2 linked regions of the Solanum lycopersicum genome follow. The main gene of each other region encodes a partner of the protein of the gene in region 2 in a complex. Links are inferred from orthologs where the notes say so. Each region holds a gene or a part of one and is shown on either strand. Other genes may lie near its edges.

Evidence for each region.
Region 1: exosome complex component RRP4 homolog (region 2) and exosome complex component RRP41 homolog share a complex: the UniProt entries of both Arabidopsis thaliana proteins name them as parts of the RNA exosome complex. The link is inferred for Solanum lycopersicum from reciprocal best matches to the Arabidopsis thaliana genes RRP4 and RRP41.

Annotation. Positions count from the first base shown.
Region 1 is NC_090800.1:82,540,536-82,548,614, forward strand, and holds the start of exosome complex component RRP41 homolog, read right to left. Parts: upstream 4,104-8,079; 5' UTR 3,919-4,103; coding exon 3,865-3,918; intron 3,770-3,864; coding exon 3,723-3,769; intron 3,528-3,722; coding exon 3,467-3,527; intron 1,162-3,466; coding exon 1,123-1,161; intron 1,036-1,122; coding exon 968-1,035; intron 40-967; coding exon 1-39. UniProt on the Arabidopsis thaliana protein: Non-catalytic component of the RNA exosome complex which has 3'->5' exoribonuclease activity and participates in a multitude of cellular RNA processing, maturation and degradation events.
Region 2 is NC_090808.1:63,092,631-63,100,452, forward strand, and holds exosome complex component RRP4 homolog, read left to right. Parts: upstream 1-2,370; 5' UTR 2,371-2,637; coding exon 2,638-2,789; intron 2,790-2,925; coding exon 2,926-3,027; intron 3,028-3,104; coding exon 3,105-3,150; intron 3,151-3,901; coding exon 3,902-3,991; intron 3,992-5,019; coding exon 5,020-5,085; intron 5,086-5,280; coding exon 5,281-5,349; intron 5,350-6,588; coding exon 6,589-7,041; 3' UTR 7,042-7,290; downstream 7,291-7,822. UniProt on the Arabidopsis thaliana protein: Non-catalytic component of the RNA exosome complex which has 3'->5' exoribonuclease activity and participates in a multitude of cellular RNA processing, maturation and degradation events.

The sequences.
Region 1 (8,079 bases), on a different chromosome or scaffold from region 2:
ATTGTCTGGCGAATAACAAGAGATATCTCCGTGGATCTCCTAAGAATTGAAAACATAGGTATCATCGAATAGACATCGTGTAACCAGAAGTAACACAAATTGAATAACTTTTCTTAGTTAATTGTCGGTGTCATAGATTGAATAATTTCTCCTTAAAAGAATATCATAGATTGAATAATTTTCTTGGTTAATTGTAGGTAATTATAGACGATAAATTAAGAGTTGGCATATTAAGATTAGTGATTCTTGAACTGTGTTTACTACCTAGCTTCATTTCAAGATAATTTTTGCATTGTCTGTGGAACATTTGTTCAACCGTCTTATGCAGCCTTACCATTAAATAATATTTTTGGGCACTACAAGTATTCCTAAGATTCTAATTCCTTTTCTACTACAGACTATAGTTACTATCCTAGTATCCTAGTAGCATCTTTCTTGGCTGGACAAGTGCTTAAAGAGCTCCAAAGTCTTCCATTAGGTTATAGAATATTTTCTTTTTTAAATAACCAAGAAATCAGCAAGGAAAAATGGCTCAAGGTTTAAAATTCAGTGGAAAGCCAGCCCTCCACCCTTCGCACATAAATACCAGGCTTGTATCAGAGGCAGAGTTTGAGCCCATGACGTGCGCCAAATCCACAAGTCACTATACCTTACACCCTAACGAACTACCCACAAAAGCTCAACACCTATAGAATATGTTTGCTTGTCCATCCAACAACCGTTAGTGCTCTGTATGCCTTCCATCTTTTGAACCCTAAATAGCTACAGTTCAGAGTTGGGACAACTTTTCTTCTACCAGCACCAGTTCTGTAGAATATTGTCCATTGAATTTCAAGCACACGTGCAGAGTTCATTTTAATTATAATGGAACTGTCAGCAGAGCAAGATGATATAATTGCATGGGTGAAAACTGAAAACACATAAAATAAAAGGGAAAAAAGAGACTGACAAGGTAACATGGAATCACCTGTCACCCTTTGTTTTTCTCCGGCGATCGCCAGTGCTGAAATTAGCCATGCTATACTCGCAACGTACCTAAAGAGTGACAAGTAAAATCATATCATCTCACTTTTAAGGTTATACATCTTGCAGTATAAGAATTCATCATGAAAGGTAGTTTACCAGTGCCTGGTCATTCATCTGTTGGCTCCTGTTCTTAACCTGAATGATGAAACTAACAATTGAGACATTTGAATGAACCTTTATATATATCAAAATTAAGACTGATATCTTTATCATTGATCACAGAGGTAGTGATTAGATACTTTTTGCAAAAGTACATTACTGGTATCCAATTTGCATACCAGTGTGATATACAAGTCTTACTTCAAAAAAATAAAGCACCAAGTGTAAATTTTCCCTCATTTTCCTTGTTGGATGGATGTTCAATGCACTGAGCACCCAAGAACAACAGGCACTAATTTGATCGTGGATAATTGCAACATCCGGTATCTTAGGAGCTTTCTTCCGCAAAAACTGGACTGGATGTCATCTTCTATAATTGAGCTTAATGCCGTTCTAGGCAGTTTGCTGCAATGATGCATCCATACTACACACTCAACATCCTAAAATTCAACCTAAACTTCCGCAGACACCATCCATTTTAAGCAGCAACAGAAGTTCCGTTGAGAACTATAACTTTGACGTGCTAGCACATACAACAATTGATTTTGGTGCAATGGTAATTGCATCCTTTGCATAATTCCTCCTGCTTATTCTAATCCTTGATAAACACTTCTTATACAACACTTCCTATGTTGAAGACAGTTATTGGCATTTAGACATACTAGTATGCATTTCAAACTTTTAACTCCTAGTGAATCAAGATCCTCTTAAGTCCCTGTGATAAAGTTTACAACCTAGTAATATTTTTTTTAATGACGAGAGAAATCCGCAGCCGCTACCCTTAGGGTGCACATAGGTAAGACCCCCGCTCCTATATAATAGCTTGCAAACCACACAAGAGAGGTAACCCGCACTAGGCAAGCTTGGTGCGACGAGCTCGACCCATAAGGCAAACCCCTTGCTTTCCTTGGCAAGGGGTTTCAAACTTGAGACATCCAACATGGAAGTCCCAAGCCCAAACCACCTGGGGCACACTGGAAGGGTACAACCTAGTTATGTATCTGCTTTTTTTTTACTATTCCTACAATAAATTAATTACTGCAGGACCAACTGACACGAAAAACAACAAACCAACTAAATTATGGAGAAGATGTCTGAAGGCAAGCACAAATTCGCAGTTGTACTTCGCAAATTGACAAAGCTTTCAAAACGGACAAAGTCCGAATTTACACAGGTCTTCTACAATAGCAGTATCCTATTTCCATTTTTTTTCCTGCTAGGCTAAAAACCTTCATCAGCGAGCATTAACTCAAACAAAAATACTTTGCCTGAATCAATCTCAAGAAACTCCTTATTACACAAGTGTTAACCAATTAAATTTAATAAAATTCAATCCTGCTTTGATTATACTTCCTTAGAGTAGAGGGACTAAGGGAAACCGCCTCTCTGCCCCAACAAAGGTAAAGTCTGCGTACATCCTACCCGACCCCACTTGTGGCTTCACTAGGTATGTTGTTATTGCTTGTACACTGGAGGTTTTCCTATTATTAATAAAACTATTTACTTTATCAAAAAAAATGTACCAAAGCTAACCAAATTTTTCACTTTTGTGCTGATAGGGATCTCAGATGCTGATCAATTAATTACTTTACTGCATCAAAAGGAAAACCTTAATGAGGAAGACAACAGGATATCCAATCAAATTTTTAGGAGGCAACTTCACAAGGCAGGGCTGGTAGAGGATTTTGTATATTATGAATTACATGAAGCAAGGAATATCAAATATGGCTTCGTTAATGCTTTTAATGGTTCTATCATTCTTTTCCGATTCCTATGTGCTTTTTTATGGTTCCAGCACCCTTTTTCCTTTCATCAGGCTTCCTGTTGATTTCCTTCTAGTATTTGTCTCTCTTAACCTTTATAGGTTTTTACCTTATACTTTACAATAATTTTATTTCATTAACTTATTATTTTCTCATTTATTGACTAATGCTAGGGATTAAGTTAATTAATTTCATACTAAATATTCAGAACCTTCTCCACGCCAGACCCACATTGCCTTGCCATATTCATGCCTATCAATGAAGAACCAATTGATCAGGTTTCTCAGATAACTTAGTGCAAAAACTAAACTATCGAATATGCCGTGCTTCCACCACCCCACACTTCAAAAGTTAGCAGGCAACCCATAAAAAAATCTTGTTTTACCAAGCCACATTCCCTCCATCATGGAACACAATATCACACAAGCTGTTATTTCTAGACAAACAACTTCCCTCCTTTTATTTTCAGTTCAAAAACCATTACTTCACCTAGACAATAATACCAACAAATAACAAATAATTTGATTCATAATCCAAAAAGAGTCAAAATCAACAGACTGAGTATTACGTGAATTTACCTCCCGAGGACCATAAACTGCTGCAATGACTTTGGTATTCCCCATTTCAAACGAGGCAGAACTGCAAATAATCAGAGTAAACAAACTCAGTTGCAGGTACAATAAAATAGCAGCCTATCAAAAACATAACCTAACTACAGAACTAACCCATATTTAGCACCAGACCAATTAATTAAACTCAAAAAAGATAAATTAGTCACAAATTGACGTATAGAATAACTTAATAATGCAATTAGATAGAAGTCTAAGTAGTTACCCATCTGCTCTCGATACAACCCCTATTTCAGCACGAAGTTGTCTCATCTGAAAGTAAACACGGGCACAGACGAATCAAAGTAATAAGAGAATGAAGATAACGATTAAAAAGGTAGAAATTTAGTGATGAGAGAGCAAGAAACCTCCATTGGACGGCGACCATCTAAACGGAGACCTTCAGGATTAACGTACTCCATTTTTGTTCGGCCGGAGAAGGAGGCTGGAATAGTTGGAGTGTGCCAATTTCCTGAGGTTTTAGAGCAAATCAGGGTTTTGGCATTTGGTATTTTGGGATTTTATTTTTATATTTGTATCTTCCCAGCAAAAAAAATTATAAAAGTTTGTCTCAAATTTTGCATAATTTGAAGAGCAACTTTCACACACGTAGTAAGCATCAAATTTATATTTTTATGTTATACCAAAATTGTATAATTACGTTGTATAGCAAATAAAAATATATATTATTCGTTATATATATATATATATATAAATAAATCAATTGTATAATTCGTTATACATATATAAAAGAAAGCAGTTGTATACAAATTAATTGTATAATTTGTGTATGTATAAAACGAGAAAGAGAGAAAGATAAAATAAAATTGGGCAATGAAATTTTAGTATTGTATAATTATAAGTGTATGGGACGAAGATATATGTATTTGCAAGTGTATATACAATTTTCTCTCACTTTACACAAAAAGAAACACAATCTATACATTTCGTTTCTGTTTTTACAAGCGATAGAGGCGAGGGTGGCGAGTGAGATCTGAAGAGTGGCGAGCGAGGTCTGGAAGAGGGGAGAGAGGGGAACGAAAATGTATGTATATATACAATTTTTTTCTCGCTTTATACAAACAGAAATACATTTTATACACTCGTGTTTGTATAAAAGTGAGAGGGAGTGAGCGAGAGAAGGAGAGTGGCGAGTAAGAGTTTGAGGGAGAAAGGTAACTGACAAACAATTTGCTACAGGGTACAATTAAATTAAAGTGTGGTTACAGCATTCAATTTGATTTATTAATTTGCATTAGATACAATTTTTCCTATTTTTTTTAACACTACTAGCAATTTTTTCTGTGTAATTTTACTTTTTATAAATATATTTGAGATAAGTGTCAAAACACACCTAAACCATACTTTTTTTTTGAGTTTCATACCTTAACTATTGAAAATTTGAATTTCAAACCTAAACTATCATTTTTTAGTTTGAGAAACACATCTCTCTTTTATATCACTCTCATCATGGTATGTAATATAAACACTCTCGTTTATTTTAAAGAATTTCCATATCACACTCCACATGGACAAAACATTCAACCTTGACAAAAAATAAATAAATTATTAGTATTAGTTAAATTAAAAATTAAAAACAATTATAAGAAATAATATTTTCTTTATAAAATAAAATATAAAATATTTTTCTTACCCCACACCATTTTTTAAAGTTTTTTATTTTGTTTGAATTTCTTTCATATAAGTATTTCATTTTTTACTTCATCTCCTCCCCTCGTCAAATACTAATTTAGATATTATTTTATTTTCTTAAAAGTATAATTCTATCCATCCCACTTAATCATACGCTTTCAATTTTTTTCTCTAGTGTTTAGATAAGTATATCGAAAATATGTTTACTTGCCGCCATAAGACTTTTTACATTTTTTTAGTTGTTTATGTTATATTCGGTACACTAGTAGATTTTTTATGGAAAAAAAAAATATGTACGTGCATATCTAACACAAAATAAGAAAAAAACGTTAAAAAAAAAAATCGGAGCGAAAACTAAAATATGAAATTTTTAAAAATATTTTATAAATGATTCTTTTTTTTAAAAAAAAAGATGGGGTTGTCGCGGAGGAGGGGGTACGTAGAGGAGATAGTGGAGTGAGATGAGAAAAATAATTTAATTTTTTTATTTGGATATTAATCTTTATTTTTAACTAATATTAATTTTTTATTATTTAATTTTTATCTAGATAAAATATTTTATTTATGTGGAATGCCATGTGTCAAAGTTTTTTCACATAAAAGAGAGAATGCATTACACACACCATTGAGGTGTGTTTCTCAAACTAAAAACTGATAGTTTAGGTATGGAACTCATACTTCTAATAACTTAGGTAAAAAAACTTTAAAAAGGTGAACAGTTTAGGTGTGTTTTTGACACTTATCTCAAAATATTTTTACCTTTTTAACTTTAATACTTTTTACTAGAATATAGAAAAAGATCAAGTTATTTTTTAAAAAAATAATATTATAATTTTTTAAATTTTCTGACCATTACCACTTTTCATTTTCAAAAAAGATAAATATATGTGTAGCTAAAATATGGGAAAACTTTATTAGGGGTAGGCGTGAATATAAAAAAATTAAACTCAATCAACATTAATTTGTCTTTTGGTTCTATGTTTGTAGTACTTGGGTGTTTTTTTAGGTTTATTTTGTTTCTTTTTGTTTTTGTGAACATTCAACAATTCAGCTACCTTTTAGTTGTTTGATTGAGTTTTACTTTTATATTCCAACATTCTCTTCAAAAATAAAAGAGAGATGTGCAAAACTAGTCCACACCATGATTATTACTCCATCCGTTTCAAAATAAATAACAATTTTTTTTTAGTCTGTTTATAATTGATGATTTCTTTTTTTTTTTTTAACATTTTAAAATTAGCTTTCATGCGGTATTTTTAAGGCCACATAATTAAAGGACAATTTTATACATTTAAATTAACTTTAATCACACGATACGAAAGTATTTTTTATACTATTAAACTCTGTACCAAATCAAATTAGGTCATTCTTTGTGAAACGCAGGGAGTAATTTAAAAAAAAAAATATGGTTAAAATTTTAAAGGTCAAAGTTGTCAAAAAAGTTCAACTATTGGGAATGGCAAAATCAATTCGAGAGAGTTCGGAGCCTAAAGGGTACAAAATATTAATAAAAATTTCAAAACGATATATAAAATTTTATATCAACCAAAACGGTAAAATCGCTGCACCAACAGCGACTTACCCCACCGGAAAAAGCAAAATCGCTGCAGAGGTAGCGATTTTGCAAAAATCTGATTTTTTTTTAAAAATGAAATCGCTGCCTAAGCAGCCCATCAGTGATTTCTTAAAAAAAAAAAATTTAATTAAGGAAATCGCTACAGGGGCAGCGATTTCCTTAATTTTTTTTAAAAAAGAAAAATTTTCTTTTATGAAATCGCTGCCCCAGCAGTTTCTTTATTTTTTTAATTTTTTTTTTTGAAGAAATCGCTGCTGGGGCAGCGATTTTGTAAAAAAAAAAATTCTTTCTATAAATCACTGCTTAGGCAGCGATTTTATTTTTTTTAAAAATCAGATTTTGCAAAATCGCTGCAGAGGCAGCGATTTTATTTTTTCCGGTGGGGTAAGTCGCTGTTGGTGCAACGATTTTACCGTTTTGGTTAATATAAAATTTTATATACCGTTTTAAATTTTTTGTTAATATTTTGTACCCTTTAGGCTCCAGACTCCAATTCGAGATGTATCTAAAAACAAAGTAGTCAAAACATTAATTAGTAAAAGAGAAAGACATTAACATGACTTTATATAAGATTAAATCAAACAAACTTGTGTATAATTCATTTGTGAAGTATTATTTTCATTATTGATATTCTTCATAACTATCAAAAAAAAAAAAAAGAATTTTAAATATAATTTAATAAAATCAAATTTGAAAAAAAAAATTGAACAAGTAAAGTAATTTGATGCACACTATTAAAAAAAGGAAAACATAAAAATCAAATCAAAAGTTTGACAAAATCAAACGAACCTCCATCCCTACTATTTGCTGAATTTGTATTTTTTAAAAGTTTAAATATGCCATTCAAGCCCTACGAAATTTTCATGGAGTTACTAGTTCAACATACAAAAATTTTATTAAAATTTGTTATATTGAAGCAAAAAGATTATTTTTCTTGACTAAAAAGAAAACAATCTGATGATTAATAATGTTAATGGAAAATTATGAGATCTTATATTTAATTTTTAAGGATGCAAAAAATATGAGATAATTTTTTCATATTGGTAATTTGTCCAAATTAAGTAGAAGTAATCATTTTCATATGACACAATACAAACAAAAGATATAAATCTTAAATCTTAGAAAAACTCTGATATAGAGATATTTTATCGCTCATAATGTATATATTAACTCAAACATCTATATCAAATTCAAAATTTATCGTATTATGAAAAAATCACAAAAATAATTAGGGATATATTATGCGTTACTTTTCATCTAGTTAATAATTCAACAAAAAAATTATGCAAAAATATTAAGCATCTTTTATCCTTAATCAAAAATAGTGAATTCAAATCCTTCCTAATATTGATGT
Region 2 (7,822 bases):
GTGGCATCTGAATGTTCACAACGGGATATACTAAACCAAAATTTTGACATATAACATATTAAAATCTCACAACATAATATTTTGAGAACTTGAACAAAAAAATATCCAAATAATAATAATAAATACGATCTTAATTTCCTAACAATCAAGAAGAAAAGGCTTGTGCTTCATATATTTTTTAAAAAGATAGTTTTTCGGGTTGTGTCCAAATTTACAGTTCACAAATTTAATTGAAAGAAGCCTGTAAGAGATATTACTTCTTTATCAAAAAATAAAAAATTAATCAAAAGAATGAGTTATCACTTTAAGAAAATGATCTTTAATGATAACAAATAAATTAATTATCATTAAATATGTATTTTCAGAGGCAATTGGTACTCTGTATAAATGTCCCTAAAATCTATAACAACATTCTATTCAATGACAATTATCAATGTCGTTAAAGGTTGTAGCACTCTTTGTAAAGGTACATATTCATTGCCGATAGAAAATATTTTTGTGATAGCGTATTTTGGACATTTGTTAGTTTCACGAAAACTTTATCTTTTATTAAGCTGAAAATAGAAGAGAAGAAGAAGTATGACAAATTAGTTAACGTGCAATAAAAGATCTGGACAAATTATCTCTATACAAATATTCTAGAAAATGTATAATGGCATACAAAATGTTTATATCTAAGAAAAAACAATCAAAATAATATACTAACTGTTGCAAGCAAGAGAACAATCATTTTGATTCTTTTAACAAACTTCATCATTGATTTTGTATTACTTATAAGATATTTGTTGTTGTGTGCTCTCAAATATAGCACAACCCACAAACAATTTTTCCAAAAGTACATATAGAAATCCTCTAAAAAGGGACAAAAGAGAATATAAATTTTCAGTCTTCCTCACTAGAATTTTGAAGATAATTAAAAAAATAAGTCACAAAAATAACAAAAAAGACGTTGCAATAGATACATAAATCACTATAATTATAGTAAAAAATTAAATTTCATGATATAGAAGAAAGAAACCTTTGAGAAATGAAATACACTTTATAATAAGCATAATTAATGTATTTTAATTCGAAATAAACATACAAATAACAATGACATACATAAAAGATTTGTTTACCAAAGAACCAAACGGAATGAATTCAACCATCAACCATTTCAACAACGTTATGAATTGTGCATCCAGAGGTCTAAGAGTTGTAATGTCGCGTTGCAATTGAAATCAATTTGCTTTGTTTATATGAAGAAGCCTGTAGAAAGGGACAAAAGGGAAGATCAATTTTCAATCATCCTTGCTGACACTTAAACAAATTTTTAAAAAGGTCGCTAAACTAGAAAATTTTTTTACAATACTTAGATGAATCACTATGACTTATAGTAAAGGTGAAGATCCATGAAAACTTTCAAGAATGAAACAAACTTCATAAAAACTCAAGTCATGTATTTGAATTTGATTGTCCTATATTGAGGGGGGAAAACCTATAAATTATAGTGGCAAGAAATTCCTCTATTTATAGATAACATAGGGTAATGTGCACAAATTAGACACTTAAACTTGTATAAAGTTGAACAAATAGATACACATGTCCTACATGTCATTTTTTATCCTATGTGGTGTCTTACGTGTACTGTGTCATGTAGGACTCATATGTTTATTTATTTAAAAGTTGGATAGTTAAAGTGTCAATTTGTGCATTATGAAAGTTGGAGGTCAAAGTTAAAATTTGAAGTCAAATTTAGGGTCCAATATATGTATTATGTCTTTTTCATAAAAGTCGCAACTCTTCATAAAAGTCACAACTTTTCAAAAAAGTTACAACTTTTCCTAAAAGTCACATATTTTCATAAAAATCACAAATTTTCATTAAAGTAAAAACTTTTCATGAAAGGGAAGACTTGTTTTGAAAATAAATAATTTTAAAAAAATCTGATTTATGGTGGTGCCAAATAGGCGGACCTAAAGTTTTTTTTTTATTATATAAATGTATGATAATATATAAAATAATTATAAAATTTATATATCTAATTTATCGGTTCAGTTTAGTTATTTTTACAATTTTTGTAAAATTAAAACCAAATCAAGTAATATCAATTTTTAAAATTTAAAAATCAAATCTAACCAAACTAAATTAAATATCAAACTTTTTTTTATCAATTTAATTTGAATTACAATTTAATTTAATTGTTAAACCATAACCATAAATAGTCCTCAATATGCTAATAGTAAACTATTACTTCTACATATAGAATTATCATTGAATCACATATCAAGAAAGGCTAATGTAGTATTTAAAAAAAATATAACAATAACTAACCTTTTATTTATGAAACATCTCCTTCTCTTATAATAATTACTTTATTAAAATTATATCGTTTAGATCAATTACTCTTTATATGAATGAACCTTACTGTTAATTAATAAATAAAATCCTTCTGTTCTCGAGGGAAAAAAGAACTTGGAAAATATAAATTTTGTGCTTTTGCTCCAAAATTTTAAAATAAAAATCTAAAAAAGATTAAAAAAATCTTTTTGATAATTTCATTGTACAAGCTTGGCAAACAGGGTTTAAGAGAGGTTTTAGGGTTTCTTCTGCACTAGTTCTTCTTCTTCTTCCTTTTGTTCACAAAATCAGAAAAAAATGAGAGGAATACAGTTATCTTTCAGCAACACCCAAAAGCTAAGATTAGAAAAAGCATTAGCGCAATTGGAATCCTTTTCTTCGAAGCTTAATTCCAATGCCACTGTCATTGTTGCAGACAAAATTCCAGTCGACGAAGATGCTGCCCTCAAGTAAGTAGTTGGGGTTCTTCTATATGAATCATTTGTATCTACTCTACAACCCCTTTTTGTTCAAATTAAGAAAATAGGTGTTGATTTCATTTTTCCGATTTTTGGTATCTGACCCATTTTTGTTTGTTGAATGAAGAGGACATGGGACGTTGGAGATGGGCAATGATGTTGTTGCAAGTGTATGTGGAGTGGTTGAGCGGGTGAATAAGCTTGTTTATGTTAGACCTTTAAGGGCCAGGTTTAGTGTTTAAAGTTTGAATTTTTGTTGATTTTAAGCTTGATTTTAAGGTGAAAAAAGGGTTCTTTTTAATGTAGGTATAAGCCGGAGATTGGTGATATTATAGTCGGCCGCGTTATTGAGGTGAGTCTGATTCCCTGCAATGAGTTTCTTGTCAAGTTTGCTTCTTTCATGTTTAGGTGTTTCATTTGCTGCTAGCTCTTACATCGGTTTCTTCCAAAAATATTGAAAATTGAGTAATCTTTGCTCCTTTTATGTTTAAGTGCTTATAATTAGAAGTTTAATGCTAGTGTATGGACAATTTGTTTCTAGTTGATTGAATCGGTATTTTTGGGTAGTACTGTAGTAGTTAGAAACCTCAATTGATACGAAAGTCGAAACCTGTTGCAATGGTAAAGTTGCTCTCTTTAGTGACTGGTAGGTCATGAGTTCAAGGCTTGGAATCAACTTATTTTCAATCTACCATTTTCCCCTTACCATGCCTAACCCCGGGAGCATCTTGTTCAAAGTTCACTTAGCAAAATGCAACTCTCTCCTAATGTATCCCCAGGTAATTGTAAGGGATAGGATAGAGAGTTAAATTATTTCCGCTGCTCTTCAGGTTTTCCTAGTATGATCATAAATTCATAATAGCGTGGGTTTTTTCACTCTACCATTTGTTAGAGAAATATATTAGCCTTCACATTAATATATGGATAATCTAATTGTGCATGCCTTTGGTGCTGAATTTCAAAGAAAGGGCACTAAGAGAACATAAAGGAAAAGAACACATGTGTCCTCCTTTTTACTTGTCTCCATTTACTTTGGCAAGAAATATTAATGTTTCTTGCGGTTAGATATATATCTAATGATTATTAATATTCTTGATGTAAAGGTTGCTCCAAAGAGATGGAGGTTGGAAATTAATTTCAGCCAAGACGCTGTACTAATGCTCTCTTCTATGAATCTTCCAGATGGCATTCAGGTTATTGTTTACAATGTCACTAAGCCCATTTGAGCATAATCTCTGAATTGATTTTGGTCCCATGATGTGATGGTTATATTTTCTGGATAATTCACTAGTCAAGATTGTGTAATTTGGAGTCCTTATTGCATCTTGTCTGCATGTAAAGAAACATTTGTAAGGAATCAGTTGAGCACCGAAATCAGGACCTCCTTTATTCTGTGTCACCATATGTACCCACTTGTGACACTGCATATTGAAATCCTAGAGAAAAAAGAGCTGAAAAGATTTTCCTATGGCTGTTTTATATCATTTTTCCAAATTCTTCAGTTTCAACCCCCTCCGCCTCTGTGGCTTAAGACCCTAGTCTATTTCACTTTAGCAGCAGGGAACCAACTTTGCTCCTCTTTGAAGAAGTCATCTCTTTAACTTCCTTTGGTAACATGAATCGAATAGCCCAATGGATCTATAAGTCCAAGATAGCATGGATTCATATGGCCTACCCCAACTTGTTTGGGATCGAGGCACATTTGCTGTGGACCTGTGGTTGTAAAGGATTCACTTCTGCCTTGGAGAGTAAGATGAACTTTGTCCAGCTTTTAACTCTATGCACAATCTCATATTTTAAAGAACACTGCTGTCTCAACATTTAAATAATTAGACCTTCATGGGCAACAAGTTTCTCCCCAATTCCATTCTCTAAATTTATCATAACAGTACAGTGAATTTATCAAACTAGTATAACTTCTATTATTGTTCAATAAATGAGCCCACTGCCTGAAGCTTGCTTAAAGAGATCTGAAGTTCCCAAGGTATTGAAACTAAAGAGTTAGAAGGGTGACATGCCTATAGAAGTTCGATCTTGACTTGTGACTCGACCTGTAGAGCAGATACAACTTTTGAAGTTTGTCCCCTGAAGCAAATATACACTTCCTTTTCCTTTTTGTTTCCCTGAATTTCTGTCATTATGTTGCATTCTTTTAGGTCTTACTTAGTCATGGTCATAGTCAAACTAAAATTAACTACTTCCTCTTATTCTATGATTCCAGAGGCGGCGAACAGCAGTTGATGAACTCAATATGCGAAGCATATTTGTGGAGAATGATGTCATCTGTGTAAGCTCCCCAGCTCCTTTGACTATTTATCAAATTCTTGAAGGGACCATTTTATGTGTGGCATCCATCTGTGGATTATGATGAATGCAATTATGTCTCGTCTGTCCTTACTGATTATATGTGCATGTCATTCTCCTTTTATTTTATTTTATTTTCTGCAAGTATGGTAATCTAAGCGAAATTGTCCATCTTCAGGCTGAAGTCCGTGGTTTCCAACATGATGGGAGTCTACACCTCCAAGCTAGAAGCCAAAAGTATGGAAAGGTGTGTTTTCATAATTGAAATTAGAACACTAAATTTTGTTTCAGAGTTATTGTTTTGATTATCAGGTTGGAAATAAGCACCTCATTTTCTCACCTTTTCCTCCTCCTACCTGTTTGACCATAAAAGCTTTGTGTGGGAGTAGGACTGGGATTCAAATTCAATCTCCACAAGGTGGGGGATATACATTTCTAGCATTCACAAGAGATTTTAGGTAGATGGATTTATGGTTAATTAAAACCATGGATTAAACTTTTCCCATTTAAAAAGCGTAAAATAATTTTGCATAATAGCTGGGATGGAGTTGCTTGCTTGTAGGAAGCAGGAAGATGATATGTCTGATGAAATTTTTGAAGTTAATCTTAATTTTCCACGGTCTAACGAGTTCTCTGTCTTGTCCCGGATACACTCTAGACGTGAATAGCACTCAATATCACTATCTAGGCGAACCAAATCCCGATATCTTAAGCATTAATTTGCCACATTTAATAAATCTATTAAGTACCCTAACAATATGATAATTAATTACAAAATAATAAGTATCTTCAAATATTAATTTAAGCTCTTGGCAAAACCCCACAGTAGACCGCATATCAGTGTTCAGGAAAGTGAGTGCAGCAATGAAGCAAAGCGATTCGAGCCTTCTACGCTTCACAGACTAGAATGAGTATGTCAGCGCTTCATCGCTTAAAGCAAGCTCTTCATTGCTTAAAGCGTGAAGCGGGGCGTTATCGCTTTTTTCCGCTTCACGCTTCCCTGAACACTGCCGCATATATTTTAAACCATGTCTATATTTCAATGGATTAAAATGAATCTGTCTGTGAATATAAAGGACAATATTAGTTAAAACCTCATGGTACAAACGGCAGAAGTTTTACTTAAGCAGATGATCTGACCATAAAGTTCGAATAGAGAATACAAAGGACCTTGACATGATCTGCATTAGATTGTTATTTTGCTTTAAATACTGGCAAGAAGGCCTTTTATATGCTGCTGATATCACCATCACATAGAGCTATACTTTTCAGTTGCTTCTCGTCATGTTACGTCTCTTTTTCTTGGGGTGGTCAGTGGAATGAAATGTGCATTTTTACCTAAGCTTTGCAATTTTTGTTTGTCCCCTTGAATATATTTCAGATTTCAGACATTAATTATCAATTTGTTTGAGAACATATGCTCTGATGATTTGGTGTTTCTAGTGGTTGAGTTCTTCTGAACAATTCTATTTTTCCTTTTTAATAGCTTGAAAGAGGGAAACTACTCAAAATCCCTCCATATCTAGTGAAAAGGCGTAAACAGCATTTCCACCATCTAGATCAGTATGGAGTTGACTTGATTTTTGGCTGCAATGGATTAATTTGGGTTGGGGAACACATTGATGTAAAAGATGTAATGGTGGAGGATCAAGTAAATAAGTCCGATCCACAGAACACCCATTCATCAAGCTTACCAGGTTCTAGTGAAGAACCAACTGATACACCACTGGAAATAAGACAATATATATGCAGGATAGCAAATGCCATCACTGTATTCTCAGCTTTAGGCTTCATGGTTAATTTGGACTCCATAATGGAGACAGTTACCTTGAGCTTATCTTTAAACCTTGGTGTACATGAGATGCTTGAAGCAGAATTCCATGTTCGAGTTGCTGAGCAAGAAGCTGAACGACGGAGCACATCAAAAAGGAGGAGATAGTTTACAACTCATCATCTACATTTGCCTTTCTTGGATTGTCGATTATGCAAAAGATAGAAGAGATTAGGAATCTATTAAGCTGAATCGGGTAGCGCTATGTCACCCTTTAATTGAAAAAGATCTGTAAAAGAGTTTCCTTCTGAATATCCCCTTAAATTCACACTTTTGATTTATGTGCATTAGTAAGGAGTGTGCAGCTGAAGATCAAAGTTTTTCTTCCCAGCAATGAAAATTTTTCTTATGTTTTCACTTGTCTGTATTGCTGGTCTTTTTACTTGTTAGTGTCTAATGTTTTTTAGCTTGGAAAGTGAAAGCAATATTCCAAGTGTTATTTTTGGCTAGTCTCGTGTACATTTTTTTCTCAATTTTTGGATGGATCTCAGTAATTTGGTAAGCATTTTGAATCAAAAAAATTCAAATTGGCCACTGTAATTTAAAGCAAAACGAACAAGTTGACCAAACCTGAAGGATTTGCCCTATCATATATATATTATTGGAGTTTTTTTTTTTGAATTATTATTTCAAAAAATTTCAAGGTAAATTGAGGTGCTTTATATTATTCACATACTCCATAAAGGTATAATGTAAGGAGTTGTAACTTGCAAGCCTCCTGAAGTTTACAGAGGCAAAGGTGTATAATGTACATTGGTGAAGTGGTTAAAAAGAAATAGGGAAATAAATCAGTGACAAACTTGGTTCATGGTTCTTTCTTAGGGTTTGTTTGGTATGAATGAAAATATTTTACGATTTGGACAAAAGTTTTGAATGACCTCCCTTCAAA